Linked DNA regions of Stegostoma tigrinum. The protein of the gene in region 1 interacts with the protein of each later gene in a pairwise test. Links are inferred from orthologs where the notes say so. Each region holds a gene or a part of one and is shown in the gene's direction. Other genes may lie near its edges. The genes, in order: nup62l, xpo6, oip5 and filensin.

What was found.
Region 2: the proteins of nup62l (region 1) and xpo6 interact in binary tests that used the Homo sapiens proteins (3 or more experiments, as listed by UniProt). The link is inferred for Stegostoma tigrinum from reciprocal best matches to the Homo sapiens genes NUP62 and XPO6.
Region 3: the proteins of nup62l (region 1) and oip5 interact in binary tests that used the Homo sapiens proteins (3 or more experiments, as listed by UniProt). The two-hybrid records come from large-scale screens. The link is inferred for Stegostoma tigrinum from reciprocal best matches to the Homo sapiens genes NUP62 and OIP5.
Region 4: the proteins of nup62l (region 1) and filensin interact in binary tests that used the Homo sapiens proteins (3 or more experiments, as listed by UniProt). The two-hybrid records come from large-scale screens. The link is inferred for Stegostoma tigrinum from reciprocal best matches to the Homo sapiens genes NUP62 and BFSP1.

What each region holds. Positions count from the first base shown.
Region 1 is NC_081368.1:73,415,888-73,423,407, reverse strand, and holds the start of nup62l (nucleoporin 62 like), read left to right. Parts: upstream 1-4,431; 5' UTR 4,432-4,619; intron 4,620-4,979; 5' UTR 4,980-4,987; coding exon 4,988-5,271; intron 5,272-7,520. Other genes in the region: dnaaf6 (protein PIH1D3), read right to left, coding at 1,124-1,213. UniProt on the Homo sapiens protein: Essential component of the nuclear pore complex. The N-terminal is probably involved in nucleocytoplasmic transport.
Region 2 is NC_081376.1:32,158,916-32,166,923, forward strand, and holds the start of xpo6 (exportin-6), read left to right. Parts: upstream 1-4,766; 5' UTR 4,767-4,989; coding exon 4,990-4,992; intron 4,993-8,008. UniProt on the Homo sapiens protein: Mediates the nuclear export of actin and profilin-actin complexes in somatic cells.
Region 3 is NC_081363.1:84,907,684-84,915,187, reverse strand, and holds the start of oip5 (protein Mis18-beta), read left to right. Parts: upstream 1-4,277; 5' UTR 4,278-4,349; intron 4,350-7,034; coding exon 7,035-7,170; intron 7,171-7,504. UniProt on the Homo sapiens protein: Required for recruitment of CENPA to centromeres and normal chromosome segregation during mitosis.
Region 4 is NC_081362.1:4,880,303-4,888,062, reverse strand, and holds the start of filensin, read left to right. Parts: upstream 1-4,727; coding exon 4,728-5,053; intron 5,054-7,760. UniProt on the Homo sapiens protein: Required for the correct formation of lens intermediate filaments as part of a complex composed of BFSP1, BFSP2 and CRYAA. Involved in altering the calcium regulation of MIP water permeability.

The sequences.
Region 1 (7,520 bases):
CTAGTTTAAGGCTCCAAATGTTCTTCAAGGTGTTTGTGTTCTACATCACAGAGATGACTATGATCCTGGCTGAATAGAAACACAAAGGATAAAACTGCAATTGGAATCCTAATTTTCTGGGAGCAACTCCATTGTGCACTCTCCCAAAACAGATATTAAAACAACTTCTTCATAAAACTTCATATCAAAGAGCATCATGGGTCTTCTCTCTTTTCAAAATCAATCAACAGTACCACAGCATTCGGAGGTTTTTTTTGGCAATTACAGTCTCATTGTATTGAACAAGCAATGAGTCCACAAACAGGGAAGCCAGGGTAAAGATATGACAAATAAGAAATGAAGTATGCAACCTTTCATATCTGAAGAGTAACTGAAGTTGGGATACCGCTGCCAGGAGATCTGCTCTTATAGTAAGCCACACTTGTCTGTCTCGCATCATCCTCACACAACTACTCCACTTTGTTGGCAACTATTGTGCGACATTCATCATTCAACTACACCGCCACGTCAATCCATTCTGCTGCCTTCCATCACCTACTTTAGTAGTGAGCTTTTCAACTCTGGTCAAATGGCCAAAATACTGACATTTCCTGAATGAACTGAAGTGTCTCTGGGTAAGATAGTCTTGGATTGAAATGCCATTCCTGAGGATACTCTTCAGGTCAACACTCGGAACTGTCTTTCAGATTAGATTAAATTAAAGGACTCTCTGCCTGTAGTTAATTGTACTTGACAAGTTATTGGAAGTTCAGTTTCAATTTATGTGAGTTTATGGAGAGATAGATCATTCAACAGCATGCTGAGAAAAGCAGTGAGGTTTGTGATTCTGAGTAACTTTTCCTGACATTAAAAATAACTAATTTTAAACAAACTGAGAAGGTTATTCAATTGAGGGCTTGATTGATTGGAAGATGAATGGGAGCCAAATGATATTTTAGATTTTCAAACAATTCAGTCAGATATAGACAGAGAGGCTGAGCTGCTCCTTATCCGGAAATTTCATAGTAAGTTCCATAAATCCCTTGAGAAATGACCAGGGTTCTTTGAGAGGTGGAATAAAACCAAATCCCCAAGCCTTGATCCAGTCTAGCGATCTAAGTTTGCGGGACATGTTTAGAATTACCTCCTCATCCAGTTCCTCCTCTTCTCGATCTGAACAGGACAGCAGGTTTGACAAAGCTTGCAGGTGGTCAGCTGAGAAGGTGAAATCCATCTTGTTACCTTGTTAGAGCTGAATAAACGCCCTATTTGCAAGAGAAAGGATCCTCTTTTAGAACCAATTTATACTGTCTTACCACTAATTGTGTTAGTTTACCAGCTGATATGTCAACAGTAAGTACACCCTGGCACTGCAGATGTCCACATACATTCCTGCTTCGGGCACAGGTTGGATTGTGGGGAATGAATCTGTGAGATTCCTTATATTAATGTTTGAGATGAGCAACATCAAATTAAGTATTGTGAGGCAAGTTTGGGGGGGGGTGTGAAACAGTGGGGCAGATGGAGAAGAAAGAGAAAAGGGAAAACAGAACGGCATGACAATAATACTCTTGAACTGTTAGTGAGACAAAAGCATCTCTGCAAGGTTAGTATTTATTATTCAATCTTAACTTCACTCAAGACAACTAGAGAGTCACCCACACTGTCACAGGCCCGTAGTCGGACAGGGTTATGACAGCAGATTTTATTCTCTCAGTGATATTTAAGCACCAAATTGGCTTTTGTATCAATCTGGCTATTGCATGGTCATTATTACAGAGAGTTGCTTTTTATTACTGATTTATTAAATGAACCAAACTTCTCAGAGAGGTTTTGTGGTGAGGAAGGTGGTGATGAACAGACAACTTTTATGCCTTTCTGTTAGCTCTTCAAAAATTTTCAGGAAGTAAAACATCATTTCCCCTCAAGGAACTCATACTGATACTTCCTAATCAAACCACCTTTTTGCATGTTACTTCTAATTTTATCCTAAATAATTGTTAGCAAAATATTCCCCTTCACTGAAGTTAACTGACTGGTCTGTAATTGCTCAGCTTACTCCTTCAATGTTTTTTAAAAGACTGTAATGTTTGCAATTCTCCAGCCTTCTGGCATCTCTCCTGAGTTGAGGGAAGATTAAAGATTGTGTCCTGGCACCTGCAATGTCCACGCTTACTTTCTTTAAAATTTCCAGATGCATTTCATCCAGTCCCAGTGCCTTATCACCATCTAAGTACCAACTCTCTAACCAATACCTACACCTTATCAATAATAAGTATTTCTAGTGACAGAGTTTCCTCCTCAGTTAGCTTGTCTGAGTTAGCAGCTCCCTCTTTAGTAAAGACAAATGCAAAGTATTCATGAAACACCTCAGCCAAACTCACTGCCTCTGTCCGTACATCCCCATTACGATTTCTAATTGGCAAAACTCCTCATTTTACTACTCTTACTTGTTCGTCTATATAAGATTTTGGGTCAAGTATTTTATTGGCAAGGGCTACAAAGAAAAGGCAGCACATGAATTTGAGGATTATCGGGTCAGCCTTGATGCCATTCAGTGGTGGAGCGGACTCAAGGGGTCGAACGATCTATTTGTTTTCCTGTCTTATGGTCTAAATTCTATTTGTTCAGCCCATCTGAACAACAAATCCATACCATCCTGCTGTCTAAGGCTTTTTCCTCGCTGTTTACTACAGTATGAATTTGAGCAACCAATCAATGAATGCACGCATGCCAAACGCCTTTTTAACCATCCTGTTCATATGTGATGCAAACTTTAAAGAATTATTAACCTGTGCCCTAGGTCCTTCTGTTCTACAACACTAGTCAAAGCCCTACCATTAACTGTATAAGTCTTACCCTTGTTTGTTGTACCATTATGCAATATCTTGCATTTATCCAGATTGAACTCCACCTGCCATTTTTCAGCCCATTGACCCATTTGATCAAGATCCCACTATCATCTTAGAAAACATTCTTCACTGTCAACAATGCCACCAATTGTGGTGTCATCTGCAAACTTACTAACCAAACATCCTTTATTCTCATCCAAGCCATTTATGTAAATATCAGACAAGAGAGGACCCAGAACTGATCCCTGTGGAACACGGCTGGTTACATGTCTTCAGTCCAAAAAGCAACCCTCCACCAATACTTTCTGTCTTCTGCATTAAGCCAATCATGTATCCAGTTGGCAAGCTCACTCTGAATCCCATGTGACCTAACCATGCGGAAGCTTGTCAAAGGCTTCACTGAAATCCAAATAAACAATATCTATTGCTCTACCGTCATCAACCTTTTTGGTGTCTTCTTCGAATTTATTAAAATATATTGCAACCCCCCCTTGTTGATTTATATACCTTCATTTTTTACTCTATAGTGAATACAGACACAAAGTACTCATTTAAAACCTCAGCTCTATATATGTGGCCACTTCTGTCCCAACTCTTTCATTGGTTACTTTCTTCCCCCAATACATTGATAAATTGCCTTTGGAATTTCCTCAATGTGTTCTCTTTGCTTTCCTTTTTTTAAAAAGTAACTACCAACTGAAACCCCCACCTCCCTGTTGCTGTTTAGAAGCCAAAGTTGGCCAAACAGGTTGGAGCATCTACCAGCAAATTCCTTCCGACTTCCTTACCAAGGCAGTGAGAGTGGAGAGTTTTCCAGTCAGCCATGCATGATGAGGAGTGGCATCCCTTGCACTAAGCCTCTGGCAAGAGGCTAATGACTTATTCCAAGTAAAGCAAGCGACAAGAAACACTGCACTGTGTAAAAAAACTAGGATAATAACTGATCTGCTGTTCTACACGTTTCGGAGCTGAAGCAAAGTCATATGTAGTCTCAAAGGTGCACTGAGCAATTACTCGCTGAGATAAATTATGATGCGGCACATGTTACAATTGCAGAAAATATACTTTAAACACTAAGAAAAAAAACAATATTTCATCCTTCCTCTCTCCCTACCACTACACATTCCCCAGAAGGCCTCATCTTAAAATCCTTCCTACCTTCATCCTGTCAAGCCTATTCCACTGATGAGCCTTTCACACTCCCTCGCACTCTTTCCGCATTCACTCTCTCCCTACCTCCTTCTATCACTTACATCTCTCCCTCGCTGTCTCTGTCCCTTCCTCCCTCAAACTTTCTCTTTACTCACGTACTCAATGTCTTTTCTCTCTCCCTCTCCACACCCTGCCTCAAATTTTCTCTTTTTAACTCATTCGATTTCTTTCACTCCCTACACCCTCATCCTTTATACCCCTCACTTCCCTTCCTCACACTTACTATTCCAGCGAATCTTCTCGTCGCTATGGGAACCATGGACATGGCGGCTAGGTTTGATTGACAGCTCCCTGGACCAATGCACTTCCCGCCCTCGGGGCCCAATCAGCAGCGACGATGCTGGATCGAGGGGATGGGTGCACGGTTTCGCCAATCAGAGCGAGCGGGCTTGGGAGGTGTGTAGCGAGCGAAGTTGTTCGTACAGTACCTGTGAGAGAGCGGGATCATTTAGGGCCGGATATAGAGGGGGCCGAAAAGAGGAGCGAGATCGCTTCGGTATCGGCCTAGAGAGTCCATTGTCGTTTGCGCCAGTTCTTGCATAGGGGATCTTCCGTGAATCAGACCGGAACCCCAAGGTAGGTGAGACCGCAAGAACATCAAGTCGGCCCCAAGAGACAGACATCTAATCTGGAGAGGTGGGCTGGGTGAAGAGGTGGGATGGGAGAATGGGGTGAGGCAGGGTTTTCGGGTGAGGTGGATGGGGATAGAACATAGAACAGCACAGTACAGGCCCTTTGGCCCACGATGTTGTACCGTGGAATAATCCTAATCCAAAACTAAAATAACCTAACCTACATTCCCCTCAATTCACTGCTGACCATGTGGGGATGGAGTGGGGTAGGTTAGAGCAAGGAGGAGGTTAAGTCTCTTAGTTGAGTGTGCATGTAGCCTAACAGGCTGCAACCAGTGGACTGATAATTTCCATTTTTCTCTAGATTTCAAAATGAGCTTCAATTTTGGGAATCCGGCTGGAGGCGGCAGCTTCTCCTTCACTGCTCCCAAGACGGCAGGCACAGGGAGTGCGTTCTCTTTTGGCAGCACTACTGCAGCCTCCCAAGGGACCTTTAGCTTTGGAACACCCCAGCAGGTTACAACAACGGCCACCTCAGCACCCAGCACTGGTCTGTTTTCGTTCAGCACTCCCACTACTGGAGTCGCATCATCTACTGGATTCTGCCTGCCAACACAGCCAGCAACAACTGCCACTACTGGAGGCTTCTCTCTTGGGTAGGCCATAGTCTGTACCTACACATTAATGTTCACAGCCAAAGACTGGACTGGCGGTGGATGAGTGAACTGGAGGGAGTGGATGGATGTGTTGTGGAATTCAACAGAGAATGTCAATATTGGAGGGAGAAAATGTGGAGATGGGTTGACCGTAGGTCTTGGTAATTTGTGTTGTCATGACCTACTTGGATGTGGATGTTACTTGTAAGTCCAGCACTCATTTGCCCATCCCCAGTTGAACTTGAGTATATGATGTTGAGCTGTTTTGAATCTTTGCAGTCCGTGATGTGTATGGATATCCGTGGTGCTGTTAAGGAGTCAGTTCTAGGATTTTGACTCAGCAGCACTGAAGGAATGGCAATACATTTCTAAGACAGGATTCTGAGTGGCTCCGAAGGAAACCTCCAGGTGGAAGTGTTCTCATGTGCCCTTTGTTCTTCTAGGAAGTAGCGGTCACAGGTTTGGAAGGTGCTGTCAGATAACCCATTGTTGACTTACTGCGGTGCATCTTATGTACTGCTGCCACTATGTATCCGGGGGGGGTTTGTTTCTGGTTGTGTCAGTCAAGCAGGCTGTTTCTACTTGGTTGCTCTCATGCTTCTTCATTGGTGTTGGAGTTGCATACCCACAGGCAAATGGGCAGTATTCAGTCACGTTTCTGTTGCCTTGTAGATGGTGGACAGGTTTTGGGGAGTCAATAAGTGAGTTGCTTGCTGCAGAATTTGTAGCCTCTAACCTACTGTTCGAGCAACACTATGGATTGTGCGTTTCAGTTTACGGGCATTGGAAGCCCCAAAATCTGGATGGAGCTTTCAGGGATGGTGATGCCATTAGATGCCAAATGGAGATCGCTTGATTCTCACTGCAAGATGGTCAATCAAAGAAAGAGTACTAAGAGCAAGCTCTGGAGAGTTTCTCTTCTTGGTCCAGATCCAAAAAAAAACCACTTACATTTAAAAATTCAGAGATACAGTTTTTAACTGAGAAAACAATTAATTTAAAAATTACCATTTAATGTCGTTCAGTCAATTTCGTATTAAGTAACTATCTATTTAATGCCATGACCTAAAATTGGCTGAAAGTTCTGCTGGTTAGGCAAACACATGACAGATGCAAGATAATAAAATGTGAGGCTGGATGAACACAGCAGGCCAAGCAGCATCTCAGGAGCACAAAATCTGACGTTTCCGGCCGAGACCCTTCATCAGAGAGGGGGATGGGGAGAGGGAACTGGAATAAATAGGGAGAGAGGGGGAGGCGGACCGAAGATGGAGCGTAAAGAAGATAGGTGGAGAGAGTGTAGGTGGGGAGGTAGGGAGGGGATAGGTCAGTCCAGGGAAGACAGACAGGTCAAGGAGGTGGGATGAGGTTAGTAGGGAGATGGGGGTGCGGCTTGGGGTGGGAGGAAGGGATGGGTGAGAGGAAGAACCAGTTAGGGAGGCAGAGACAGGTTGGACTGGTTTTGGGATGCAGTGGGTGGGGGGGAAGGGCTGGGCTGGTTGTGTGGTGCAGTGGTGGGAGGGGACGAACTGGGCTGGTTTAGGGATGCAGTAGGGGAAGGGGAGATTTTGAAACTGGTGAAGTCCACATTGATACCATATGGCTGCAGGGTTCCCAGGCGGAATATGAGTTGCTGTTCCTGCAACCTTCCCCCCCGCTCTCCCTCTCGGCCCCTGCCCCCCCCCCCCCCCCCCCCCCCCGCGCCCGCTCTCCCTCTCGGCCCCTGCCCCCCCCCCCCCCCCCCCCCCCCCCGCGCCCGCTCTCCCGCTCTCCCTCTCGGCACCTGCCCCCCCCCCCCCCGCGCCCGCTCTCCCTCTCGGCCCCTGCCCCCCCCCCCCCCCGCGCCCGCTCTCCCTCTCGGCCCCTTGCCCCCCCCCCCCCCCCCGCTCTCCCGCTCTCCCTCTCGGCACCTGCCCCCCCCCCGCCCCGTGCCCGCTCTCCCTCTCGGTCCCTGCCCCCCCCCCCACGCCCGCTCTCCCTCTCGGCCCCTGCCCCCCCCCGTCTGTCTGTCTGTCTGCCCCCTCCCCCCAGCCAATCCTGTTTCCTGCTTAAAACCTGACATTTCCCTAGCTACCATCAGTTCTCAGGAAGTGTTACCAGACCTGAAATAATAATTTTGATTTCTCTTAGATGTGGCCAAACCTGCTGAACTTTCCTAGCAACTTCTGCTTTACAACATCCACAGTTCTTTTGTTTTTTTACCACAGGATTGGCTGAACTTGTTTTATTGCTGGTTCATTTCAAACTCC
Region 2 (8,008 bases), on another chromosome or scaffold:
TGAGTTAAAACTGATAAACAATTACATTGAAAGAGCTAACGTTGCATAAACTTGTATTCCCTCCTGTATAGAAGATTGAAAGGTAATCTAATTGAGGTATTTGTAAATGTTAAAAGGAATCAATAGTGTAGGTAAAAACAAAGAATGTCCTCAATGGAAAAGTTAAAACAGAAACAATCTTAAAAGTTGAGGCTAAACACCGAGGAGAAAAATCAAGAAATTGAAATTTTTTTCACATGAAATAGTGGCATCAGTCTGGAACTCTGCTTCCAACCCACAGTCCCTAACCTGCCCTGCTTCCCTTCTCCCTTAAGAAATGTTATTGAATGCTAAGCATCAGATGGTGTTTTTAAGATTGAAATGAATAGATTATTGTTAAATAAGGCCATCAAGGGAAGGTAAATGGAGTTTAAGTGACTGGTCAGTTGTAGTTCTCATCAATGTTTGTTGATTTCAGGTTGTCGTGTGCTCAGTGTGTTTCTGCCATGGGTCTTCACGTGACTGAAAATCTTGATTCACAAATCTTTCTCCACATTGGACAGAATGAAGAATGTGGAGAGCAGGATTTGCTTCATTTGCTTTCCTTTTCTGCTGTGGATCTGTCTCATCATCAAGGCATCATGATTCAACATGTGCCACAGCTTAATGGACAATTTCCCACTATTTTGAAAATTTGGTTGCAAACTACTGCTGGATATTGGTATCAATGTTGTTTCACTTCTTTGAAAAAAGCTTCAGACTGTTTTAAAGCATTTTCTTTAACTTCCCCTCGAACATTGGTCTTTTGAGAGTTGAAAGAACAAGTCTTGTTAGGGGAAATGCTTTTTAGCCATTCAGACAGTGTCCAGTTCATTGAAGTTGACTTCACAGCTGTTGGAGTTGGCTTCAAGAAAGATTTGTTCAATGATCCTCCCAGAGAATTAAGTTGAAAACATTGCTAATGAATTTCCCTGGCATTCTTATGCATCATTACTACAATACAGCAACATGCTGATGACAACTGTTCTTTACACATTAAGTCATGTCTGTATAATTGGCAAAGCTGATGTTTTGGGTCTGGACCCTTCTTCAGAAGTGGGCAAGCGGAAGGGGATTCTGAAATAAATGGCGGGGTCGGGGGGGAGGCAGATGGACAGTGGATAAAGGAGCAGATAAGTGGAGAGGAAATGGACAGGTCAAGGAGGCGGGGATTGAGCCAGTAAACGTGAGTGTAGGTGGGGAGTTAGGATGGGGTTTGATCAGTCAAGGGAAGACAGACAGATCAAGGAGATGGGGATGAGGCTGGTAGGTAGGAGGTGGAGGAGGAGGTTGGTCAATGAGGTGAGAGGAGTGGATAGGTGGAAGAAAAGATGGACAGGTCAAGGAGGTGGGGACGAGCTGGGCTGGTTTTGGGATGAGGTCGGGGTCGGGATATTCTGAGGCTTGTGAAGTCCACATTGAGACCATTGGGCTGCAGGCTTACCAAGTGAAATATGAGGAGCTGTTCCTGCAGCCTTCGGGTGGCATCGTTGTGGAACTGTAGGAGGTCGAGGATGAACATGTCGTCCAAGAAGTGGGAGGGGAGGTTGAAGTGTTTCGCGACTGGGAAGTGTGGTCGTTTGTCACGAACCAAGCGTAGGTGTTCCACAAAGCGGTCTCCAAGCTTCCGCTTGGTTTCCCTGATGTAGTGGAGGCCACATCGGGAACAGTGGATACAATATACCACATTAGCAGTTGTGCAGAAAATGACTATTACGAGGGGGCATAATTTTAAGGTGATTGGAGGACAGTATCGGTGAGATGCCAGAGGTGGGTTCTTTACACAGAGAATGGTGGGTGTGTGGAATGCACTGCCAGCATTGCAATGGTAGTGGAGTCAGATACATCAGGGACATTTCAGTGACTCTTGGATAGGCGCATGGATATAGAGTATGCAGGGTTGTTGATCTTAGAGTAGGATAATCGGTTGACACAAAATCATGGGCCGAAGGACCTGTACTGTACAGTACTGCACTGCTTCTGTTTGTTAAGGGGAACCGTTGCTTTCTGTTCAACTCTCTATGCCCCTCATAACCTTATACATTACGATCAGGTCACCCCCTCAATCTTACTTGCTCTAAAGAAAACAACTAGAGCTTTTCCAGCATCTCTTCATAGCCAAAGACTCCATATCAGGTTAAATCCTGTTAAATCTCCTCTGTACCCAATTCAGTGTAATCACATCTTTCCTAAAGTGTCGTGACCTGAACTGCACACAGTACTCCAGCTGTGGTCTAACCAAAGTTCTGTACAGCTCCAACATAACCTTCCTGCTCTTATAATCTGTGCCTCGACTGACAAAGGCACTGCTACGCCTTCTTAGCTATCTTATTAACCTGCCCTGCCACCTTCAGGGATTTCTGGACAAGCACATCGATTATTTTGTACCTAGAGCTTCCTAGTATCCTATCATTTATTGAGTAATCCTTTGTCTTGTAACTTCTTCCAAAGTGCATCATCTCATTCTTATCAAGGTTATTAAATTCTATTTTCCACTGATCTGCCCATCTGATCAATTGTTTATATCCTCCTGTAGCCTAAGTTCTTCTTCCTTACTGTCAACCATCCACCCAAGCTTCGCGTAAACTTAGTTATCATGCCTCCTTACATTCTCATTTATATCACTTATATATACCACCAGCAATAAGAGACCCAACACTGATCCTTGTAGTATGCCACTGGATATCAGCCTCCAGTCACACAAATGCTCTTCTACCATTTGCCTCTGTATCCTCCCACTAAACCTATTTTGGATCCGGTTTGTTAAATTATCGTTAACAAATGTTCCTAGTCATTTTTCACAATGGAAAGGGATGTCACAGGTTTACATCTCTGGGTGAAAGACATGGAGAGAGTAGATCTATTGGCAACATTAAAAGTAGAAAAATCCATAGGCTTGGATGTGATGTATCTCAGGCTGTTGAGTGAAGCAGAAGAGGAGATCTCGGGGCACTGGCAAAGTTTTCAAATCCTTTGTGGCCACAGGAGACATGCCAAAAGATTGGAGGACTGCTAACATTGACCTGTAGGAAATTACAGGCCAGTCAGTCCTATTTGGTGGTGGGAAAGTTATTAGGAAGAATTCTGAGTGACTAAATACATATGCACTTGGACAGACAGATTAATAAGGGTTTGTCAGCATGGATTTGTTATGCGAAGATTGTGTTCAACACATTTGATCATATCCTTTGAGGAAGTAACCATGAGTATTGATGAGGATAATGTATTTGATGCGGTCTATGTGGTCTTCAACAATGCATTTGGTAAGGATCTCATAGCAGAAAGTTAGCACACATAGGATCTAATACAAAGTAATGGTAAAGATAAATTAAGGAATTATAAACCTGTAAATTGACATCTGTGGCAGGAATGTTTTGGAGAAACTTTTGAAGGAGAGGATTAACTTCCATTTAGAGAGTCAAAGTTTGGTGAGAGATAGTCAGCATGGCTGTAAGGGTGGCATGACACTTAACAAATCTGGTTGAATTTTTTCAGGATTCAGGATTTCAAGTGTGTAGATGAGAGTACTGCAATTAATGTAGTTTATATGGTTTTCAGCATGACTTTTTGACAAAGTCCCACATTAGTGACTGATAAAGAAGGAATTCTCTCCTAATTGATTATTGCTTCAAAAATACTCAAGAAGCTCAACATCATCCAGGCACACTATGCACTACGGTTAGCACTCCCACCCTCCAACCCTGATGAACTGTACAACATACAAGATACACTGCAACAATTCAGCAAGCTACACACCTCCAAGCCTTTACCACCAAGGCAAACAAATACATACCACCACCTGAAAGTTCCACTTAAGCCACACAAAATTCTAATCAAAATCCAAGAAATGCTCTCTTAACAGTATTGATGATGAATCTGCACAAATGGACTGCAGCAGTTTGAGAAAGTCACATCAAGGGCAGTTAGGGATGCACAAAAACACAAAGAACTTTATTTTTTTCTTGAAAATATTGAGCAATAATCTTTCTTCATCCATCGTCCTAAGAACTTTTTCATTGCTCACGTTCTGTCCCATCAAACTATTTCACAACTTTATAAACTTTAGATGTATGCTTTCTCATTGTCTATGTTTCAGCCCTTTTTAACAATGCTCCAAATCACAATTTTGATAATTCTTTTCTTCAGATTTCTACTCATCCCTATACTGACCTATTCTTTAGGCCTGGAAAATTGCCTTCAGGATTTCCTCATAAATAACATCTACAGGCATCTTAGCACAGTTGGCTGGAGGCTTGGTTAGCACTGCAAACTGAAGTCAAGTATGGTTCCAGCCCTGTTTTTGCTGAGGTCATCACGAAGGTCCCACTTTCTTAACCTCTCCCCTCTGGTTAAACCATCACCAGTTGTCTCCCTCCATTGAAACAGTTGGGTCTATGGCTACTTTATATAATCGCTTCTTCAAAAGTATTGCAATAAACGTCTTCTATACTGTACACTTATGTAACTTTTTTTTAAAAAGGGGGCTTAAAGATGCAACAACGAAAATGTATTTTATAAGACAGTTTCATGAAAGATTTTTATCTGTAACTTAGATAAACTAAATTTTACTTCGGTGCCAAATAGCAAGCACTGCACGTACAGGGTAAGCCGTGGTCATGTGACCAAGCGCTACCAACCAATCAAAAGTATGTCACCGCCCTTTTCCACAGCGGCTAATCGAAACTTACCTTTCAATCGAATTGACCAATCATAATACACATTTGCAGCCATCCAATGGACATGCACATTGGGATCTGGCACAATCCGGTCTGAGCCGGCCCGCTCCCGCCAGGGCGGAACCGGATCCGGGGCTGGGGGCGGAAATGTTGCGGGAAGGGCCTGATGACTAGGCCCGAAGAACCAAGAGACGCAGCGACGGATAGCGGCTCAACATTCGTCCTCACTGGGTTAAAGGGGCTGTGCTGGATACTCGGAGTATGAGCCGGACAGGGAAGAGATCGTATTTCAACTATGGTGAGTACGCGGCCTCGTTTTGTCTCTTGTACCCTGCGTGCTCCATTGGACTTGATATTGTCAGAAGAAACGCCAAGGCTGCTCTCCTTTTGTGGGCCTTCTACGGAAACGTCTCCCTTCTCTGTAGCAAGCCCTTCTGCATTATGGGGCTAGCTTCCCTTCCTCTTTCCGAGGCAGTTGCAACCAATTCTCATGTTTTTCATCAAGGAAGTGCGGTGGGGAGGCATACCTTCCATACATCAAGTAGAATGAGTTCTGCTGACGTTCTTAAGGAAGGTGTTGTGGTATTTGTTGTGCCACTGTCCGCAGATTTGATTGGGTACCGAAAACATTAGGAAGGGAAGAGGCCGTTCAACTCCTCCTTTAAATCCGTTCTGCCCTGTAATCAGGGTAATGGTTGCTTCGTTTAGAATCACTCTTAGTTGCTAATGTGTCAGTGTCGGTTCCCTGCATAACAATTAAAAAGGTTCTCCCATGATCGTGCACACTTCTCAACTGACTGCAGGATTTCTGAGGGTAGCCTTTAGAGCAGTATTGCCCAAATGTTTGTTTGCTGAGACTCCATTTTGAAGCTTGAAAATTGTGACCCCCTCAGTGAGAACTGAAAGCAGGGATACACTCATCAGAACCAAAAGTTCCATGATAGTCATCACTGCCTTACTGTGCTATTCTAGTCAGATCCTTTCTTTGGAAAGTTTGGCTTTAGAATAATACATTGCTCAAGATTGTGGTACCCTGCAAAAAGTTAATGTAATATGCTATGGAATCAGTGGACATTGCTCCTGTGACTTATACGTAGGCACAGATGCATTTCAGGAATCTGTTTTATTATCAAATAACAAGTTGGATTCACTAGAAAACAATTGTTTCATCGAGAGGCTGCTATAAAGGATAATAATCTAGTTTTAAGTCTTAAATGGAATGTAAATGAAAGATGTTATAGACTGCAAAAAGTGAAGTGATTTCTATGACTAGATTCTGTAAAATGTACATGTAGCTTGAAAGTGGAGCAGAAGCACTGCATATGTCCACAAAATGATTTGATTTGTCCCTAATCTGTCACGTTTGTCAGAGTAGTTGATCAGCATTTTATGCAAAAATGTATCATCATCTCCTGAACCCACTTAAGCTTTTTATGCACACGAGAGATCAGCTAGTCCACTGATTATGGTTGATATCATAATAAAGCACTCTTGTCTCCACTTAACAAAAGGAATCTAGTATTCTGGGAGGGGGCCAAAAATTATCTTAAAGAAATGTTCTGGAGGAAAATACTTGAGGCATTCTTTCCCAACTGAGCCATTTTAAAACTAAATGTAGTCTGTGCTGACCAAGAATCTTGCTTTTTTTGTGTGCAAAATGATATCAGCTTCTGATAGCAGCCTGTCTAGCTCCCTTCTTGATTTAGTTTTTGCAACAAACCTGCATCATTACACAATCTGGCAGCCAGTACAAAAGTCGATTAATCTTTTTGGAAGCAAATAATTCTGGCATCTAACCTAATTCCTATGCTCATAACTTTTTTGTCATAAACCCACCTGAGGAAAGTGTGCTGACATTAAGACCAACTACATTCGGTGGTCACAAACTTAATCAACTAACTCAACATCCCCAACTGTCCTGTCTGAACTCGGGTTAACAGAGCCCTGACCCAGTTTCTGTATTTGACAAGAACCACTTTGATCAATTTTAATCACAGGCAAGCAAAAAACATGAATCAACACAATCCTGGAGTTGGAAGTCTAACCTCTTAAGCATGTGCACACAGAAACATACAAGCATGGCAATGATGGGTGGAGAAAGAAAATTGGAGAAACGTGGTTCAATTGCACCGGTTTCTGGACTTCAGGGGTGTACCTTTTTTTGTTTCTTTCAGGTTGTTGCAATCTGGCCACCTTTTATGTGTGCAGTTGCTTTAGTTCCTTGAAGAGACTGAATGGCTAACAACTAATTATTTAGTTTCTCAAGTCACTGGAGCAAATGGTGGGAGAGAATAGCTAAGTGTCTTTTAGTTCTTGGTTACTTAATTCTCAAGGAAGTGTGCGTGATGCTGTCTTGAGTCTGGAGACCTTTTGCCTCGAGCTATCAACCTATCCAGACCGCTGGAGCATTGGACAGTATGTGTGAGCGATAGAGACAGAAGGTATAGGGCTCCTGTGTGCTATGGTGGTGTCCCTACCTCCTGGGTCAGGAGGCTTGGGTTCAAGTCCTACCTCCAGAGGTGTGTAATTACATATCTGAACAGGTTGATAGCCAGTCAGCTCCTAATATGCTGATGACTCCAGGCCTCCACAACTGGAACCTAAGTTGTGGGGAGGGGTGTGGAGGAAAAATCAACAATCTGCCACTGGGCAAAGCTTGCTCTGGAAACTCTGGCCGGTCATTCACAACTGCTTTTTTTTTTCTCCTAAGATCAGCGCAAGGTCAATAACACATCTCTGCTTCACCTTGTGTACCTGTTCAACTCACTTCTGTAACTAGGTGGATCCGTTTTCTACCATGTTATGTTCTACGTCTCAATTTCTGCATGGAAATAGTTTGCTCATTTGCTGTTTTGGAAAAAAAATCTTTGGTTGACAGTTGCGAGAGGGGGGGGAAAAAAGAGACTTTTTTATTGACTGTATTAAAATCTCAGTAAAATGTCATTGCATTCTCCCTAATCTGCATGTATTTCAATAAAAAAATTCATAAAGCCATAAGGAGTAGGCCATTTAGTTGTTTGAGATTGTGAATGATCTCAACTTTGAAGCCATTTTCCTGCACCCTCCATTCGGCTCATCAAGAACGTTACAGCATTCAGTAACTCTTACTTAAAACTTCTGGTACTTCAAGATAATCCAGAAATGCAAAGGTAACCTGCAATATTTACTTTCTGTAAAGCTAACTGTTATAGACCACTCTCCTGTCTCCCTCGCCTCTTGAATCATTGTTTGATACCATGACCTTTGCTAGCAGCATCAAGACTATTGATTAAATGTTGCTGTTATGACCCTCCTCCTGCAAGCCTACTATTGAA
Region 3 (7,504 bases), on another chromosome or scaffold:
TCCATTTGGCCTAACACCATAATTTTTTTTCCCCATTTTATCAAATCTTTTGATCTAACATTCTATCATAGACCTTTTTAATTCCCCACTTCAGTAATTTAATACCTGCTGCAAGTCCAAACTTTCCCAGTTCTGATGAAAAGTCAACCACCTGAAACGCAAACACTGTTCCCATTGCTGGACCTAGTGACCAATTCCAGCATTTAATGTTTATTTCAGATTTACAAAATCCACAGAATTACATGCATTTGTGTTAGTATTTGATTCATGGCTATTTCTTTTGCAGAAATCCAGACCTTTAAGAAGTTCTGCTCCAATTTCTGACCAGGTTTTCAAGTCTGACCGGATTTGTTTGTCGCTTTTACCTGAACTGCTCTCTATTTCCCATCCTGTTATTCATCAGGTCTAGCAAAACAGGAGTTCACAGTTACAGTTCCTTCATTAGTAACTGTCTTCCTCTGGCTTATTCCATGTGGATTACAACCGAAATTCTACCCTCTCTCTTTCAGATCTACCTATTGTTACAGATAACTCCCAGGCATTCAGCATTGGTCAAGTAGGGACATAATGGCAATGTTACTAAAGTAACATTGGGAACAAGGATTCAAATTCCAACACACTATCTGATGGAATTAATATTTAATTAATTAGAAAGCCTGGAACTGAAAGCTACTTTCATATTCACCATTACAAAGACGAGCTTTCAATTGCTCTAAAAAACCATGAAGTAACTTAGGGATGGAAATCTGCCTTCTAGCCCTGTTCTGCTACAAAGTGGTCAACCCTAGGTCAGAACCCCTAAGTACTCTGATCATTTTTAATTTAACTTAATTGTGCTTTTAAAAAGAGTGTTGATAGTCAAATATTCCTGCAGATGTAAATTAAGTGCCTGTCTGGACAGAGAGAGGGAGAAGCCCATGGAAATTCACACCTACTGATGTAAAGGGAACTTCAAACAACATCCCTTCAAAGGGGGGGGGGAGGGATTAGAGCCAACTGATCTCTTGAGACTAGAAAGATAATAAGGGATTGATGACCAAACTGCACACTCATTTTGTGCTTTTCTCTTTGAAGAACAAACATGGAGATGATTTATAAGAGATAATGGGAACTGCGGATGCTGGAGAATTCAAGAAAACAAAGTGTGGGGCTGGATGAACACAGCAGGCCAAGCAGCATCTTAGGAGCACAATTTATAAATAATTTATAATTTATAAAACCAGTTTCAACTCCACTGGAATGTATTAGTGGAACAAAACTCTTGTATGTACCAGCCTCAGTTCAAGCTTTAGTGTGCTGTGATAGGCATACACAAAGAACTAGCCCCTATTTACCACTGTGTTACCTTCTCTCACTCCAAGTGTTACAAAGCATTGAACAAGGAAACAGGATAACAAAATGAATCTCGCTCACCCTCAATACTGGAATCCAGTCAAGGTCAAAAGGAATCAGAACTACAGAGTCAACAAAATGTGAGGCTGGATGAACACAGCAGGCCAAGCAGCATCTCAGGAGCACAAAAGCTGACTTTTCGGGCCTAGACCCTTCATCAGAGTGTCAATCGACGTGTAAAACACTCTCTTCACTGTCCTGAGCTCCAATTCCTTCCAGGCGAAGCAGCATTTCACTTGCACTTCTTTCAATCCAGTCTATTCCAATCATTGCTCACAGTGCAGTTTCCTATACAATGGCTAGACCAAATGCAGACTAGATGACCGTTTTGCAGAATACTCTAATTTTGTCCACAGGAATGACCTTCCAGCGCATTCCATTTCAACAAACCACCTTTCTTTCATGCTAACATTTCTGTCCTTGGTCTGCTGCAATTTTCCAAAGAAGCAGAATGCAAACTCAAGGAAAAACATCTTATTTTCTACATAGGCAATCTACAGCCCCTAGGTCTTGATATTGAATGTAATAACTTCAGAAACTGACTGTTTTATGTCCGTACTCTGTTTTTCTTACGTTATCTTCCACCACCGCCAATTCTTGATTACTTTGCAATTAGTAACAAGGGCCAAAGCTCTCCTTTTCACATCTTAATTTACACCCTTTTAACCTATCTTTTCTTTCTCTGTTATTAACAACTTTTTTTTGTCTTTTGCACTACATTATCAGCCCCCTTGGTGTCTTTCACCTCTGTCAAAAGTGTACAATAAAACCTATTTTTCAACACCTTTCAGTTCAGACAAACAGCTATACCAAACTTTAAACTTTAACTCTGTTTCTCTCTTCACAAATGCTGCCAGACCTGCTGAGTTTCTCCAGCACTTTTGTGTTTGTTGCAGAACAAAGAATTGTGAAATCCACTGCTCAAACAGCAATGTCAGTGATACCAGTAGCCTCGAATGCAGTGCTGGCAATGTTCATCTACCTATTCATCAGAAACAGTTTAGAGACTGACCCATATGTCTCTTTTTAAAAAGAAATAATATTCTCACCTCTTAATTTTAAAGTGTTTGCAAATTCTTCTTTCGTTTGGTACTTAATAAACTCACTCTATGTTAAGTCAAGAAAGCCTGATTAAATTGGACTCTTTGAAATCACGAGTTTAATCAGGTCTGGGAGAAGGATTTCTGAAGAAGGGTCCCAACCCGAAACATCAGCTTTCTTGTTCCTCTGATACTGCCTTGTCGGCTGTGTTCCTCCAGCTCCACACTGTGTTATCTCAGACTCCAGCATCAGCAGTTCCTACCATCTCCATAAGGTAAAGGATCTGTTTTTAAATTAATATTTCTGTAATCAACTTGAATAAGTTGAGTGAAGACGTGGAGCCAATTTTGTCTCTGCTCATCCGACAACTTCATGATTTGGGGTATTCTGTCTGAAACCATGCTAACAAATTAGCAGCATCACCAGGGAACTGGGTGTAACAAATTGGGGAACCTTGCCAGGGTTTTGTCATATCAGTGTGATTCCAGATCCACAGCAATGTGCCTGACACTCTGAAAGGCCCAGCAAGTCACTTCAAGGACAACTAGGGATGGACAATAAAAGTGTGGGTTTGGGAATGAAGGGAGAATTGTAAGGGAGAAAACCAGGGTACACAAAAAGGTTACAATTATGTTGCTAGGTGCAGTTTCTAGGCCACCAGTGGGAAAGATGTGGAGGAACAAATCTGCAGGGAAATTATAGACAAATGGTAACATTCTAGAATAGTTTTAATGCAGACTTCAATGACCTAAATATAGACTGGGACACTCAAGTGTACCTGGACTGTGTTCAAGAGAGCTTCCAAAGGGAGTAGATGTCCAGTCTGACAAGAAAGGAAGCACTGTTGGACCTGGCTCTTGAAAATGAGGATAAGTCAAGTGGATCAAGTGTCAGTGAGGGGACGTTTAGGAAACAGTGACCATTGTATTATTAGATGGTGGAAAATGATCTGCAACAGTGAGATCAGTCAATGGCAGAGAGGACACCTCAATGAGGCAAGAACAGAGTTGAGCAGGATTGACTGGAACCAGAGATTGGTAGAAAAAGTAGTAACTGAACAATAGGATACCCTCAAAGAGGAGATGGTTCAGGTACAGTCAAGATACATCCTCTCAAATAGAGAAGGTGGAACAAACAAATCCAGAGCTCCTGGATTAAAAAGGAGAAAGGAATTAAGATTAAAAAAGATGTGCCTATGCCAAGTCTCAGTTAAATTGAGAACCAAGAGGAATATCAAAGGTTTGGAGGGAAGGTCAAAAAGCAAATGAGAGAAGCAAAGAGGATTTCTAAGAAAAGACTGACAGCCAGCATAAGGAAATGTCACAGTCTTCCGCGGCCATGTAAATAGTAAAAGGCTGATAAAAGGTGGAGTAGCGCCAATTAGGTATCAAGAATGTATTAAATGAACACCATGCACCTGTCTTTACTAATGATAGAAATGCTCCCTAAGGTCATAGTGACAGGGAACTCAGTCACTAGGGCCGATCAAAATTGAAACTGCAGAAGTGTTGGTACTTAAAAATGAACAAGGCGCCCAGGACTGGTTGAGATGCCCCCAAGGATTTTGAAGGAAGTGAGAATTGACATTGCAGGGGACCTAGGCACAAATCTTTCAGTATGCTCCACACTTGAGAGGTGTCAGAGTCTGACAAACAATTGCAAACTTCACGACAGCCTCATTCAAGAGAGGATAATCCCAGCGACTGCAGACCAACCAGTTTGACATCCAGCGATGGACAACCATTTGGAATACAACTAATTCATCTCCCCCCCCCCACAAAACCTCCTCTACTCTGTTCCGTCCCCCTCCTTTCTCCACGCCCCACCCCGTTTCCGCGAAGACGGCGTACTGCGCATGTACGCTGGTTTGAACGCAGTGCGGCGCGCGTTTGCTAACGGTCGTGTTTGAGGAGGAGGTGAGGGGGTTTGGTTGGGTCTGGGGCATATGGTGGCTGGGGTGTTGTTCGCTTCTTCCTCCTCCTTCCCTCCCCCGAGAGAAAAATAAAATAACCCCCCAAGGGCAGCGGCAGCAATAACAACATGTCTCACTGTTGTTCCCCTGGCGGAGGAACTGGCTGGAAGAGGGCATGGTGCCTTTGGGTTTTGAGATGGGAGTGGGTTACTGAGCGGGTTTGTTGTTACAGAGAGGCGCTGCAGTGCCTAGACTAGAGGGGAAGATTTGGTTCGTGTCAGCTCTCAGCTTCAGCCCACAGCCGAAAAAAGCTTATTTCTGGCACCTTCGATGTGACCAGATGTCTCATGAAGTTACCAAAACTGGGTCTCAATGAAAAGGTAGCAGGACAGATGACCAAAACATGGTCAAAGAGGCTTATGAGGAACCAGAGCCGTACCCTCTCCTTTAATAAACTCCTGTTGCAATTTTCTCAGTAAACTATGTGCCTCTGGATTGCCAGCTTATTGCCTCTGCATATCATATCCCTTTTACACTTCATCTGTCACTTTAAACAAGCCTTTTCTTTTACTACGTTTGATCTTGTCTCAGTGTAAGATTTTGCTCCATGGAGCAGTTTCCCAATGTTATAAATAGCACTTTTTCTCCACTTGGCCACTAATGTGCTAGCTAGTCGTTTCTTTAAACTGCATGTTCAATGGTTGTGGTTTCAATACCAAGGGCCTCTATATCGAATGCTAAAGTGTCAAAGTGTAAGAATGTTTATAACCTATCTTCATGTGCCAATGCTAGACACAAGCCAAGAGCTAATCACATTCTCTGGTGCAACATTTCAGTGTCTGCTAATTGACAGCATGTCCATCTGTGTAGGTCTTGTATAAAAGCAAATTGTTGGGTTTTGAAAATAAAAAGAGTGCTGCAGCAACATTCTGCACGAGAGTCACACTGGACTTATAATGTTAACACTGTTTCTCTCTCTCTGTCCTAGATGCTGCCAGACCTGCTGAGTTTTTCCAGCTCTTTCTGTACCTATTGTGTGTAGGACCTGGAGTCTAGGCATTGTTAGTGACTGAACAGCCCAGTGGCAATTGAGATAGATAGACAGAAGATTTGTTTTCCAAATGCTTGCTGGGCAGTGGAGGTACTGTGGCTCAATTGCTGGCATTTCTGCCACTGAACTGCATTCAAGTCCCACTCTAGATTTGTTGGAAGGAGTGTTCGTAACACTGGACAGGTTCTTATTCAGCTTATAAATCCTTCCAACATTCAACACCATCCCTCAGTGAAAAGAAGGAAGGAAAGAAAGAAAAAAAAGTGTGGCGATGAACACAGTGGTTGGGTAAGCAATATACTAGTGAATAGGCAATACAATAGTGGTCTTTCTGGAAGTACCCTAAAAAGCAGTTGAGGCGTAAAATACTTGGAAAAAACTGTTGAGGATGGGTTTTCTTAAAAAAATACTTTTAGTTTTCATCTGCATGCTCTATGATAGCTCTTTAAGCTTCCTCTAACTTGTTCCCACAACAACTTGAAAATGATTCTCCTTTTACCCGTTAAGACAGAAAGGAAACTGAGTTTACAGCAAATTGTCACTTTATTCCATTGGTAGGATTTGATAGTCAGGATTTTAAACATTTCATTCGTGGTATGTGGATCTTGCACTTATTGCCTATCTGAGAAGTGGTGAGTTGCCGCCTTGAGCCACTACAGTCCATATGCTGACCTACAATGCCATTAAGGAGGGAATTTCCAGCATTTTGACACAGTGACACTGAAGAAATGGCAATATATTTCCAAGTCAGTGTGGACAGTGGCTTGGAAGGGAAGTTGCAGGTGGTGGTGTTTATAGTATCCATTGCCCATGTCCTTCTAAATGATAGTGATCGTGAAAGGTTCCATCCAAGGAGCTTTGGTGAATCTCTGCAATGCATCGTGTTGATAGTTGACATCCCTACTAAAGAGCATTGCAGGGAGTGAATGTTTGTGGATGTGGTGTTATTCAAATAGGGCTGCTTTTTCCTAGATGGTGTCACATTTCTTGCATGTTGTTGGAGCCTTACCTGTCCAGGTAAGTGGGAGGTATGTCATCACACTCCTGACTTGTACCTGGTAGATCGTGGACAGGCTCTGGGGAGTCAAGAGGCGGGATACTCACCACAGGATTTTTAGCCTCTTACCTGCTCTTGTAGCCATTGTGTTTAATGGCTACTCCAGTTCCAGGGGTGGCACAGTGGTTCACACTGCTGCCTGACAGCACCAGGGACCCAGGTTCTGTTCTAGCCTTTGGTGTCTGTCTGTGTGGAGTTTGCACATTCTCCCCGTGTCTGCATGGTTTCCTCCGTGTGCTCCGGTTTCACACAGCCCAAATGTGTGCAGGTTAGGTGGATTGGCCATCCTAAATTGCCCATAGTGTTCAGGGATGTGTAGCGTTGGTGGGTTATAGGGGGATGGGTCTGGGTGGGATGCACAGAGGTTCAGTGTGGACTTGTTGGGCCGAAAGGCCTGTTTCCACACTGTAGGGATTCTATGGATTCCTGAGGTTTTCTTCATAACATGTTGAAATATACTTTAATTGTGTTTACAGTCCGAATATTTCATCAATATAGTTCGGTTTGCACATCCCAATTGCGATGGTTGATTGATTTGATCAGTTGTTTTCTCTCTCTTTCTTCCTGTGTGCCCTGTTTAGATGGACAGTGTTGTGATTGGGTCCTTGAAGGTGAAGGACTGTGTGATCTTCCAGTGCAAGAGATGTCACACTGTGTTGGGAGATTCTCTGCAATCCTGCGGTAGCAGCTTACCATTGAACATGCTGTTATGTTTGAGTAAGTGTTAGGTTAGCTATGTATAAATGGTGATAGATTTTTAATCAGGAGGAGCATCAAGGCAAGAACGTGGAGTTAAGGATTATCAGATCAGGCATGATCTCGTTGAATGGCAGAGCAGATATAAAGGGCTGAATGGCCTACTTCTGTAAATCTTGTAGAAAAATACAGAAGCTTGACCACATGCGCCAACAGGTTCAAGAACAGCATATTCCCTGCTGTTATCAGGCTGTTGAATGGACTTCTATAATTTCAATTCTAATGTTGACCTCGCTTTTGTACGCCTCCTGTGCAGTCACTACCTTGTGTGCCTCGCTCTGACTAAGCACCCTGT
Region 4 (7,760 bases), on another chromosome or scaffold:
TGAGAGATAATGGGAACTGCAGATGCTGGAGAATTCCAAGATGATAAAATGTGAGGCTGGATGAACACAGCAGGCCAAGCAGCATCTCAGGAGCACAAAAGCTGACGTTTCGGGCCTAGACCCTTCATCAAGAGGGGGATGGGGAGAGGGAACTGGAATAAATAGGGAGAGAGGGGGAGGCGGACCGAAGATGGAGAGAAAAGAAGATAGGTGGAGAGAGTACAGGTGGGGAGGTAGGGAGGGGATAGGTCAATCCAGGGAAGATGGACAGGTCAAGGAGGTGGGATGAGGTTAGTAGGTAGATGGGGGTGCGGCTTGGGGTGGGAGCAAGGGATGGGTGAGAGGAAGAACCGGTTAGGGAGGCAGAGACAGGTTAGACTGGTTTTGGGATGCAGTGGGTGGGGGGGGAAGAGCTGGGCTGGTAGTGTGGTGCAGTGGGGGGAGGGGACGAACTGGGCTGGTTTAGGGATGCTGTAGGGGAAGGGGAGATTTTGAAACTGGTGAAGTCCACATTGATACCATTAGGCTGCAGGGTTCCCAGGCGGAATATGAGTTGCTGTTCCTGCAACCTTCGGGTGGCATCATTGTGGCAGTGCAGGAGGCCCATGATGGACATGTCATCTAGAGAATGGGAGGGGGAGTGGAAATGGTTTGCGACTGGGAGGTGCAGTTGTTTGTTGCGAACTGAGCGGAGGTGTTCTGCAAAGCGGTCTCCAAGCCTCCACTTGGTTTCCCCACTTTCGCCATTTACAATCCGACCCCACCACCCAAGACATTTTTCCATCCCCACCCCTGTCTGCTTTCCGGAGAGACCACTCTCTCCGTGACTCCCTTGTTCGCTCCACACTGCCCTCCAACCCCACCACACCCGGCACCTTCCCCTGCAACTGCAGGAAATGCTACACTTGCCCCCACACCTCCTCCCTCACCCCTATCCCAGGCCCCAAGATGACTTTCCACATTAAGCAGAGGTTCCCCTGCACATCTGCCAATGTAGTATACTGCATCCATTGTACCCGGTGCGGCTTCCTCTACATTGGGGAAACCAAGCGGAGGCTTGGGGACCGCTTTGCAGAACACCTCCGCTCAGTTCGCAACAAACAACTGCACCTCCCAGTCGCAAACCATTTCCACTCCCCCTCCCATTCTCTAGATGTCATGTCCATCATGGGCCTCCTGCACTGCCACAATGATGCCACCCGAAGGTTGCAGGAACAGCAACTCATATTCCGCCTGGGAACCCTGCAGCCTAATGTTGTCAATGTGGACTTCACCAGTTTCAAAATCTCCCCTTCCCCTACTGCATCCCTAAACCAGCCCAGTTCGTCCCCTCCCCCCACTGCACCACACAACCAGCCCAGCTCTCCCCCCCCACCCACTGCATCCCAAAACCAGCCCAGCCTGTCTCTGCCTCCCTAACCTGTTCTTCCTCTCACCCATCCCTTGCTCCCACCCCAAGCCGCACCCCCATCTACTTACTAACCTCATCCTTGACCTGTCCGTCTTCCCTGGACTGACCTATCCCCTCCCTACCTCCCCACCTACACTCTCTCCACCTATCTTCTTTACTCTCCATCTTCGGTCTGCCTCCCCCTCTCTCCCTATTTATTCCAGTTCCCCCTCCCCATCCCCCTCTCTGATGAAGGGTCTAGGCCCGAAACGTCAGCTTTTGTGCTCCTGAGATGCTGCTTGGCCTGCTGTGTTCATCCAGCCTCACATTTTATAATCTCATTTTGTCTCTTATTTTCACTGGAATCGAACACTGTCCTTTGTTATTTACAACCCACAGTAAAATAAATAACAGGAACATTCAAAATTCAAACATGCTATTTTAATGAGCTTGTATTTGTTAGGCTTTGATTAATGATGCATAGAACTTCCGCAGCATCTGATTAAACAAAACGAAATGACCCCTAAAAAATCCTGAGGATGCCAGAAATCTGAAAAAAAAAGCTGGAGAAACTCAGCAGGTCTGGCAACTTCTGTGGAGAGAGAAAGCAAGTTAATGTTTCGGGTCCAGTCACCCCTCTTCAGAACCAACTCCTCCCCACAAGAACTGAAGCTGACAGTAAGTGTGAGTGTGGATGAAAGACCCTTCCCAGTTAAAACCCTTAATGTTCAGTCAATGTCCACTATGAACCAAGATGTGGAGGTGCCGGTGTTGGACTTGGTGGGGACAGAGTCAGAAATCACCAGGTTACATTCCAACAGGTTTGTTTGAAATCATAGATCATAGAATCCCAAACTGTGTGGAAACAGACCCTTCAGCCCAACAAGTTCACACTGACCCTCAGAGCATTCCATCCAGGCCCCATCCCCCGATAACCTACCTCACCTACACACCTCAACACTACAGCCAATTTAGCATGCCCAATCCACTTAGCACACACATCTTTGGACTTTGGGAAGCCGGAGCAAACCCACGCAGACACGGGGAGAATGTGCAAACTCCACACAGACAGTCGCCCGAGGGTGGAATTGAACCCGGGTCCCTGGCATTGTGAGGTTGCAGTGCTAGTCACTGAGCCACCGTGCCGCCCTCGCAACCTTGGAATGCAGCCCCTTCATCACCTAACGAAGGGGCACCTGGTGTTGTGTGACTTCTCACTCAAACCAAAGCTTTTCAAAGGTTATGGAGGCAGGGACCCAAGTGAGGGGGGGGGGCGCGGTGGCAGGGCAGGGGGGGTGGGTGGTGAAATTTCAGGGTACAGATGACTGTCATGGAGCTGTGTCTGAAAGACTCCCTGGTGTAACAGTGTCCTCCTCCTTCACAGCCCCTCCACTACCACACCTCGCACACACCACCCTCACTCTGTTCCTTCTTGCTGGTAACGGTTCTGAAAGGGTTAAGGTTTGTATGAGGCTCCTCCAAATCTGTTGACGCACACAGTCAAGGGTGGGGAACCAGAAGTCCCAAGAGCATCAGATTTGTCTCCCTCTGGCTCCCAGTAGTCTGCCTAACTGGCCAAGGGAATGTGTATCTACTGCTGTCAGGTGATAAACTCTCGTGCTAAGACTAAATGCCTCTTCTTGTTAGGACTCATCAGTGCAGCATCCCCTTCCAGCTTTACCAGACAGAAGTATTGGAGGGGTCTTGTCATGCAGTGGCGATGTCCTTACCTCTGAGCCAGGTGTCCTGGTTTCAAGTCTCATCCGCTCCAGAGGCAAGCCCTAACATCCCTGAGCAGGCTGATCAGAAAGATCAGCGAAGGAAGTCCTGAGGAAGGGTCACTGGACCTGGAACATTAACTCTTTATTCCACAGATGCTGAGCTTTTCCAGCAATTTCTGCTTCTGTCTGGGAGGGAAGGCGCCCATCAGATATATCTCCCTCTGGCTCCTGATAGTCTGAGGGACTCTGAGGGAATGTGAGTCTATTGCTGTCTCTTGGTGCTAAGATGCTGAGCTTTTCCAGCAAATCCTGTTTTTGTCGGGGAAGGAAGGCTTGCTGACAGCACGCTGTCCGCCAACCAGCAGCTGCTGATTCCACCGCAACTTTGGGTGAGGGGATTGTGACAATTTCTGAGCTTCAGGATTGGGGGGTGGGGGGGATAATGTTTGCTGACCTGAACGCCTTGGTTTCCCATGGGTGCAATGAGGCCAGCTCCAAAAATGCACCCTGCATGTTTCCCTCAACTGGCTGCATAAAAACTGAGGGGGCCGGGCATGGGGCCCCGGGGGCTTTAAAGTCAGCTGGCTCCCCGTGAAGCTGGAACCTGTGTCCCCTGGGTGCATTGATCTGGCCCTCCCAACTGCCAGCCCAGAGCATTACCCGGCACCCTGAGAGAGACACAACGTTTAGGGAGGGAATTCCAGAGCACATGGCCCAGGGCAGGGCAACACTGATGGGCGGTGAGTATCAGAATGGGTAAGAGGGCAGAGTGGGAGGAGCGTGCAGACCTGGCCTCGCCACTCGTTAATATGAATAAAATTCTGAGGAAGGGTCACCGCACCTGAAACGTTAGCTCTGTTTTTTCCTCCACAGATGCTGCCAGACCTGCTGAGCTTTTCCAGCAACTCCTAGTTTTTGCACCGTGAATATTGATTCTTTGACAGTGTGTGTCCCCCCAGTCGTCTGAGCCTCCTTTTGAACTTCAGCTCACCCCACGTGAACTTCTCCTGTTGTCCCACCCATTGCACAGGGACAATGATCCTGCTGATCCCCATGTTCATGGAAATTCGCCCCTGGAAGATTCAGCGCCCCGTCAGCTCTTAGTTTGCAAGTTTTAGCTGACTGTGTGTGTGGTCCCCTGGAATGTTTTGTTTGTGGAGACACATGCCCGGGCTCTGCTGATCAGTCAAAAGCTCTGACCAGGCAGAATTAATGCGTTGACAATGTCCCTGTATAATTGCTGGAAAGGGCGGACAATTAACAGGGGCAGTGCACAATTATGCGGAGCTCTGCGTTGTTCTGAACTCTTATTTATTCTCATCAGAAGGTATTTTCCAGCCCTTCATATACAGTGAGGGGTGCTGTGCGGTGGGGATACGTGCACACTGTCTGAGGGGAGTTTTACCCAGTCTCTCCTCCTGTGTTGTGAATCAGTCTAACTTTTCCTGAAGAAGGGTCCAGACCCGGAACGTCAGCCTTCCTTCTCCTCTGATGCTGCTTGGCCTGCTGTGTTCATTCAGCTCCACACCTTGTTATCTCAGATTCTCCAATTGCCACTCTGTCTGAAATAACTTGTCCAACAGTAGCTGACAGAGCCAGCCCGTTCTGTGCCTGGGATGTTCGGAGTGAGCTCCCTGTGTGGGCTGGGGAGGGAGGGAGAGGGGAGTGAGGCAGGTTTAGCAGAGCTGGGCAGTTTAAGGAAGTTTGCAGAGCGCTTTGAGAGCTATGTGTGCCGGGCCCGGGCCCTGGAGAGGAGCAGCGCCACACTGGAGAAACAGGTGGAGAGTATCAGGCAGATCGAGGAACTCTCGGGTCTGGGGGGAGTCTTTATGGAACAGATCGACCAACAGCAGCAGAGTCTCTGGCGGCTACTCAGGGACCTGAACATGCTGGAGAAGGAGCTGAAGGACATGAAGCAAATCTTGGAGCTGTTTCACACCAGGTAACTTCTCTCTCCCTTTTACTCACTCTCATTGTTACTTTTTGTCTCTTGTTCACTGTATAGCCCAGCACCAAGTAAAACAAAAAAATACCCCTTCAAAGTAATTCTTAGACTCACAGAATGGTTATGGAGCAGAAGGAGGCCATTCAGCCCATCCTGCCGGCACTGCTTCTGTGCCCCAATGCCAAATGTCTGCCTTTTCCCCAAGTCCCAGCGCACCGTCTATCCAAATAACCATGCACTTTCCCAGTTTAATGCCTCAATTGAACCTGCTTCCCCCACACTTCCAGGCAGTGCATTCCAGGCCCGGACTATTTGCCCTATGAAAAGGATTTCTCTCTCACCTCACCCTTACTTCATTTTCGGCCCCAAGCCCATCACTTCAAATCTGCACCTTTTTCTTGCTCCTTTTAGAAATGGGAACAGTTTCTCCCAATGGGCTCTGCCCAGCCCCCTCATGCTTTCGAAAACCACTAACAGATCTTTTCACAGTCTCCTTCTCTCGACTTCTTCAATCTATCCTCGTCAGTGAAGTTTCTCATTCCTGGAATCATCCTTGTAAATCGCTTCTACACTGTCTCTCTCCCTCCGACCTGTTCACTTTTCGCCCTATAATGTGGTGCCCACAACTGTACACAACACCCCAGATGAGGTCTAACAAGCATCTTATACATACGTGTTCAACACCATCTCTTTGCTCTTGTAGTCCATGCCCTATTAATAAAGCTGAGGGCACTGTGAGCTTTATTAACTGCTCCCTCTCTCTGTCCTGCAACGTTCAATGATCTGTTCACATATACCCCCAGCTCCCTCTGCTCCTGTACCCCCTTTGGAATTGTTGACCCTATGTTATGTTGTATTTCAATGTTCTTCTGATCAAAATGCATCACCTCACACTTCTCCCCACATGACCTCATCTACCTCCCATCTGCCCGCTCCCTCAACTTATCAAAATCCCTTTAGAGTTCCACACTGTCCCCCTCAGTCTTCCAAGTTTCGTGTCATCCACAGGATGTGACGCTGTCCCCTGCACAGCAAGATCCAAGTTGTTAATGTAAATCAGGAAAACCATGGGTCCCAGTACCACAACTTCGGGGAACTCCCTGACAAACCTTCCTCCAGCCCCAAAAATATGCATTGGCCATGAAACTCTGTTCCCGACTGTTTGACCAATTTGGTTTTCATGTTGCTGCTGTCCCTTTTATTCCGTAAACTGTAACTTTCCTCAAAAGTGTGATCCTCACTAATGTTTCATTGCAAACTTTGTACAATAATGGAATGATCCAGTTCGAAGGTATTAAAAGCGTAGGCAGAAATTGGAAAGACGTGCGCCCATTTTCTAGTCAGATAGTGTGGGCATTGTTGGGGGAGGGGTGGAGGCTTGATTTAAGGGTGAATCCCCCAGCAGTTGAATGATGCCACCTTTGGGCAGTGTCGACACCTTGGGTACCAAGAACAGTTTGAAATTATTTCCTTTCCCTTCTCTTGACATCCCTCCTTCTCTCTTCACCCAATCCTACACATTCACATTCCTGCTCCCTCATTCCTCTACTTCTTTCCCAGTACTGAATCTCCCACCGAAGCGGATGTTTGCCCGCTGGGTGGGCTGCACAGATTCAGGAGGGTCCTGGGTTCCACGGATATCACAGCCTGGTCGACAGTGAGCTGTAAGGCATGGCTGGTCCAGAATTTGGCATTGCGTCAATGCTTAGAAATAAAATCAGAAAGATCGCCACATTCCATCCATGACAACACACGTTCCCAAACAACTCTGTGCCAGTCACACTCTCCTATATCAAGCTATGTGCTTCTACCCACCCCCATGTTTGTATATGTTGCTGCAATGCTCTCCATTCGTAGCAGCCCATTCCCTCCACCTATCACCCTTTGCCCTTACACCTAACAGCCAATTTGCTTAGTATCTACCGTGAGTAGGCCTCAGCAACCAAGCAAAGATGAGGGAGACTTAAGCCCTATAAAATGAAGTTTGAAGTGCATATTGCAGACTTTGTGGCATTGAAAAAAATTCACTCTTTCGCAAAAATCTATTATTGTATTTGCATCCTGCCAACAAGATAAAACCTTACAACAACAAACATTTCGTTCGTGTACAGCAAGCCTTACAATTCAATGCCTCACATCAAAAAGCCTGAAACCGCTTATCACTGTCAAATCTGTAAGGTTGAAGTAACTGTGACACTGTGACGGTGTGTAGTTGTGAAATCAGCCATACTGCGCTAAGCCAGGAATGTTTCTCGACACACCGAGTGAAACAACAAGAAATTATTTATAAATATAGAATCCTTACTGTGTGGAAGGAAGCCATTCAGCCCATTGAGTCAACACCTACCCTTCAAAGAGCATCCCAACCAGACCCACGCCCCCAACCTACATTTTTCCCATGGCTAACCTGCACATCTCCGGACACTGTTGGCAGTTTAGTACAGCCAGTCTACCTAACCTGCAGATTTTAGGACTGTGGGAGTAATTTAGAGGAAACCCACGCAGACACAGGGAGAATGTGCAAACTACACACAGACAGTTGCCCGAGGTTGGGTCACTGGCGCTGTGAGAATGCAGTGCGAACCATTGAGCTACCAGGCAGCCCTATGCCAGTACTTTCAAAGGTTTGAGGGGCAGCACTTTTAAATGCTTTGACAGCTTCCTTTGGTGAGTGTTTCTGACAGTTTTGACAGTGTATCTGTCT